2 linked regions of the Cricetulus griseus genome follow. The protein of the gene in region 1 purifies or fractionates together with the protein of each later gene. This does not show direct contact. Links are inferred from orthologs where the notes say so. Each region holds a gene or a part of one and is shown in the gene's direction. Other genes may lie near its edges.

Evidence for each region.
Region 2: the proteins of high mobility group protein HMG-I/HMG-Y-like (region 1) and Ezh2 purify together in Homo sapiens (affinity purification with mass spectrometry; 3 studies listed by BioGRID and IntAct, with this or other methods). This does not show direct contact. The link is inferred for Cricetulus griseus from reciprocal best matches to the Homo sapiens genes HMGA1 and EZH2.

What each region holds. Positions count from the first base shown.
Region 1 is NC_048596.1:201,330,173-201,332,300, reverse strand, and holds high mobility group protein HMG-I/HMG-Y-like, read left to right. Parts: upstream 1-1,203; 5' UTR 1,204-1,280; coding exon 1,281-1,571; downstream 1,572-2,128. UniProt on the Homo sapiens protein: HMG-I/Y bind preferentially to the minor groove of A+T rich regions in double-stranded DNA. It is suggested that these proteins could function in nucleosome phasing and in the 3'-end processing of mRNA transcripts.
Region 2 is NW_023276806.1:222,414,151-222,417,602, forward strand, and holds the end of Ezh2 (histone-lysine N-methyltransferase EZH2), read left to right. Parts: intron 1-46; coding exon 47-128; intron 129-1,274; coding exon 1,275-1,355; intron 1,356-1,516; coding exon 1,517-1,601; intron 1,602-2,606; coding exon 2,607-2,667; 3' UTR 2,668-2,931; downstream 2,932-3,452. UniProt on the Homo sapiens protein: Polycomb group (PcG) protein. Catalytic subunit of the PRC2/EED-EZH2 complex, which methylates 'Lys-9' (H3K9me) and 'Lys-27' (H3K27me) of histone H3, leading to transcriptional repression of the affected target gene.

The sequences.
Region 1 (2,128 bases):
GCTTGGCACAGGGCTGCCATGCTCCAGCCTTATCTCCTGATCCATTATCTCTCTTGATAGTCACCTTCCAAGAGTGTCACCAGCACCCAGAGCAGGCGGGCAGATGGCTCAGTACAATTTAAGCGTTTTGCTTTTCTGCAGATTTTGGTCGATTTATAAACTGCAGGCCTAGGGAGGCGGCACGGAGCATCAGGCGTTCCCCCAAAGCAGGTTTTGGTTGCCGGAGGACATTCCCGACTATTTCAGAAGAACTTGGTGAGTCTTCCCCCACCAATCATATAGCCAATATTTATTATACAGCTTTGGATTTCACAATGACATTTTGATTCAAGCATATTATGTAGTTTGACCTTTCTAATTCCTTCATTAGTCTTCCCTGCCCTCCCTGCTAGAGCCCTTCCTCTTTCTGGTTAGATCCTTCTACCTTTATGACACATAGATATATGCACATGTATAGATACATCTTAAGCAATCTTAATGATCTCGAAGCCCCCCACAGCGAGTCCTGTGTTCTTCAAATCAACCAGCCTCATTTTTTCTTTTCTTCTCTCCCTTTTCTCTCCCTCCCTTCTTCTCCTTCTCTTCCTTCCCTCTCTCCTTCTTTCTTTCTTTCCTCTACTTCTCTTCCTTCCTTCCCTCCCTCCTTCCATCTTTTCTCCCCTCTCCTCCTCTCTCCTTCCCTCATCTCCTTCCTTTAGTTTTCTTTTTTATGTGTTTATTTTAAGATGGGGCCTTATATATCCCAGGAAGGTCTTAGGTTTACCCGGTAGGCAAGACTGGCCTTGAATTCCTGACCCTCCTGCCCCCAACCCCCAAAGTGCAGGAATCATAAGTGTGTTCCACCTCAGATATCTTCTTAAATAAATTGGAAATCATTTCACTTCCTTCACAATTAGTAGAGGCCTCTCGGGAGAAGAGGAAGCCCAAAGAAAGACAGCACCTGAGAGAACTTTATCTCAAGTACCCCAAGGCTCCGCCTAGTCCCCTGGGTGATGAGGGATGGGAAACAAAAGCCCTGGCCTCTGGGTTAGAAACAGCTAGGTTGCTTACCTCACCACAAGCAACCAGCTCCCGAATTTGATTTTTGAGAGGAACTGTGGTTTGAAAGAAGAGTTCTAGCTTTTTTTTTTTTCTTTTTTTTTTTTCTTAGCTCCCCTGAGCCGTGCTGTGCTCCTCTAACTGTGCTCCCCGACTCCGGAGTCGGGGCTATTTCTGGTGTTGGCGCTGCTCCAAGAAGGCCATCACAGCCAGTGCCCCCTACTGTCCCGTAGAGAAGGAAGATGAGCGAGTCCAGTTCAAAGTCCAGCCAGCCTCTGGCCTCCAAGCAGGAGAAGGACGGGACTGAGAAGCGAGGCCGGGGTAGGCCGCGCAAGCAGCCTCCGAAGGAGCCCAGTGAAGTACCAACACCAAAGAGACCTCGGGGCCGACCAAAGGGAAGCAAAAATAAAGGTGCTGCCAAGACACAGAAAGCTACCAGAGCTCCAGGGAGGAAACCAAGGGGCAGACCCAAGAAACTGGAGAAGGAGGAAGAGAAGGGTATCTCCCAGGAGTCCTCGGAGGAGAAGCAGTGACCATGCACAGTGCCGCCTGCTCTTTGGCCATCGAAGGAGCAGCTTTCCCTTGGGACTGGAAGCCCTGCTTCCAGGCCCCTCCCCACCCCCACTGCACACTACCGCACCAGCTGCAGGCTCTGGGGGCACCGACCTGAGCAGGATTTGGCTCAGCCCATGTGCTCTCCCAAACACACCTGCCCCCTCCCGACAAGGCTAACTTCCCATTTAGCCGCAGCCTGTGGTGCTGCGCACCTCTCTTAGAGAGAGTGGTCTCTGGGCTCTTTGTTTTGCAGGCCCTTTCTGCTCTGCTCTTCCCGGCTTCCTTGTAGAGGGAGGGTCCTGAGAGCATTCCCTGGCTTTAAAGGGCCGCAGCCCCATCTGACAAGTCCCATTGACTGGCCTAGCATCAGGTGTGGTCAGTACTGGGATGCTTAGATCCCAACATGCCCTCCCCTACCAAACTGTCACCAGGTGGGTTTCTCAGCCACTTCTGCCCCACCTTACCTAGGCCCTGACTAGGTTGGCTAGAGCCCCTTGGGCTACAGGAAGTAGGACATGATGACCCCGCCCACCAT
Region 2 (3,452 bases), on another chromosome or scaffold:
TGTGACTACTTACTCCAAACAATTTCCTCCTGTGTCTTCCTTCTAGATCATTTCTCAGGATGAAGCAGACAGAAGAGGGAAAGTGTATGACAAGTATATGTGCAGCTTCCTTTTCAACTTGAACAACGGTACGTGCTAAGCTGGAGGCACTTAGCTCCTTGAACAGTGGTGTGTTCTGAGCTGGAGGCACTTAGCTCCTTGAACAGTGATATGTTCTGAGCTAGAGGCACTTAGCTCCTTGAACAGTGGTGTGTTCTGAGCTGCAGGCACTTAGCTCCTTGAACAGTGATATGTTCTGAGCTAGAGGCACTTGGCTCCTTGAACAGTGATGTGTTCTGAGCTGGAGGCACTTGGCTCCTTGAACAGTGGTGTGTTCTGAGCTGGAGGCACTTAGCTCCTTGAACAGTGGTGTGTTCTGAGCTAGAGGCACTTAGCTCCTTGAACAGTGGTGTGTGCTGAGCTGGAGGCACTTAGCTCCTTGGAGGTGGTTTGGGATCTGATTGCTGGCTGAGCATTTCAGGTTGGAAGTCAGCAAGATGCCAGGAAGGGGCATGTGTCTACAGGAACAGCTCCTGGGATTTTTTTATCACCAGGCCTAGGCTCAGGGATGTGTGAGGAGAGGGGAAGTCCCCATGGAGTAGAAGGGTTATATGCAGGAAACAAGGAGCCCCAGACACTCTGGCTGTGAGGGGACATTGTCTCCCCCACAGCTGTAGTTTGTCTTGTGTTCCCTGGGATTTGGGGGCTGAGTAGCTTCAGCACCCGGTTAGTCACCATCTCTGATCTGGGAGCACAGGCAGCATGTGGAAACCTTGTGGCCCAGGGTGTTGTCCACAGGTTGTGAGGAAAGCAGCAGCTACCTCAGCCAGGGTTGGTAATACAGATATTCAGAGAAACTTTCAGCTGGACAAATAGAACATGTTTTCTTTCTTCTTTATGAAAATGTTCCATAGAAATATTCTAATCTTAAATCTCAATATGCCTACTTCTTGATATTCACAGAAATTCGGCAGGAATCCTTTTTTTTTTTTTTTTTTTTTTTTAGGCATGTTTTGTTCAGCAACATATAATTGAGAAGTCGTGGCATTTGAGAGCCATATTTAGCCACCAGGGATTCATTTTAATGTAGAATAGTATTTTCTTCCAAATGTCATTTTGTATTGAATGTTTTATTTGCTTTTGAGGTCAAATCCTGAAGACCTGTTTCTAAAACCATAACAACTTTAGTCCATGGTTGCAATTAGTCACTGGATTGTTTTCTTTTGTTTTTTTAGATTTTGTGGTGGACGCAACCCGAAAGGGCAACAAAATTCGTTTTGCTAATCATTCAGTAAATCCAAACTGCTATGCAAAAGGTAGGCTTTTAGGTTGGCACTGCCAATTTGATGCAAAAAATTCCCTTTTTTACCAGCCAAGTGATAGCAGACTTCAGTATCTCTGGGGCACCTGCTGTGTGAAGTCAGTTACCCGCCATGGCCTGTCTTCATGCTCACCAGCCCCGTGTTTCTCCTTCCAGTTATGATGGTTAACGGTGATCACAGGATAGGCATCTTTGCTAAGAGAGCTATCCAGACTGGTGAAGAGCTGTTTTTTGATTACAGGTTGGTAAAATAAACTTTTAGTATAATCTGCAGGCTTTCCCTTCCTGTACTGTGGGCTGAGGTCAAAGGCCGTTAAGTTCTTTGCCTGATCTGCTGTCATTGGAGAGGGCATTCTTTGAACTGGCCAGTCATTGATTGCTGTGGACACCAGAAGGGAGTTAAATGCTCCTTCAATATAGGTTGCCATGTGTTAATTATATAATGCTTATTTGAAAAAACAAACCCCACGCAGGAAGCTGCGTTGAACTCCCGGCTGTTGATGACTGTGACCCCTGGGTCTTATGTCTCACTTCACGTCGGTATTCTAAGGCACCCTTTCTCATTGGTGCAGTTTGTGTATCTATCTTCATTGCTTTAATTGTTGTCGTTACCCTGTGGTCACTGTGGAATCTTTTTGGGGAAGCTAGTACAACTGACAGTGTAGAGCTCCGCAGGCAGGAGACAGGCAGGAGACAGGCAGGCTGGCAGTGTGTTCTACCTGGCTGTGGGACAAACATGACAAAACAGTTACTTAAATGTGGTCAAGTAAAGATATCTAGTTAGAGAATTCTTGTAACTGAATATCCACCCCACCTAGAAACTTTAGTTGCTGAAATGGGGGCCTGTGTTGCTTAGTTCTAGTACATTGTACTGTATAGCTGGAGAGAATTAAGTGAGTGACACCTGGGGATTGGAATAGGGTCCTCATGCTGTGTCTCGTGCATGCTCTCAGTGGACCAGGGTTACAGGCAAAGGTGTCCAGCTTCCTTAGTGATGGGACTTTCCAGATCTTAATTTTGCTTTTTCAGTATTAGACACAGACATCACAATGTGGAATTGGCTCAGTAGAGTGCCACAAAGGCACAGGGAGGGCTGTGGGACTGAGGAGTGACAGTTGCATGCTTCCTCTTCATGAATGCAGCTGAGTGACGGGGTCTGCGAGTTGTCATGACATAATCCTCTCCATCAACAGGCTTGGTTTTCCTAATATTGGACAGTAGTCACTTCTTGTTCATGTTGTTTCAGATACAGCCAGGCTGATGCCCTGAAGTATGTGGGCATCGAAAGAGAAATGGAAATCCCTTGACATCTCCTACCTCTTCCCTCCTCTGAAACAGCTGCCTTAGCTTCAGGAACCTTGAGGACTGTGGGCAATTTAGAAAAAGAAAATGCAGTTTGAAATTCTGAATTTGCAAAGTACTGTAACAGTAATTTATAGTAATGAGTTTTAAAAAATCAACTTTTTATTGCCTTCTCACCAGCTGCAAAGTGTTTTGTACCAGTGAATTTTTGCAATAATGCAGTATGGTACATTTTTCAACTTTGAATAAAGAATACTTGAACTTCTTGAGTCACTTGTCATAGAGCGTCATCAACTGATTCTAGAAAGACTATATTCAGTGGGAAAACACAACTTAGCTTTGGTTTTCCAGTTGTCTATGATAAACATATTGGCATTGTGTTTGCCTAGATACAGTGATACCATTGCCTTTTAGTCTTGAGTGAATGACACTGGTGTGGGTCCTGGGCATTCATCGGGGAAAGTGAGTCAGCTTGTTACCCAGGAAAAGTTGTTCAACCTCCAAATCTGCTGTCCATATGTAAAATTGTGGTGTCTGAGCCGCGACTAAGTCCAAGTATCAGGCAAAAGCCTGGAGATTTAATTAGAAGAGACGTCTGGCCGCTTGTGCTATGTGCGTCTGTCTGACTTTATTCCAGGGGGAGAGCTGCCTTATATACACTTACAGCACAGTGGAGAAACCCCAGGTGTAAGAGTGAGTATTTTCCCAGGTATAGTTGATGCTAGTGGGGCGAGGCTGGGGCTGTAAGCCAGGACTGGAAAACAGGATGCACCTGTGGTTATTGGCCGAC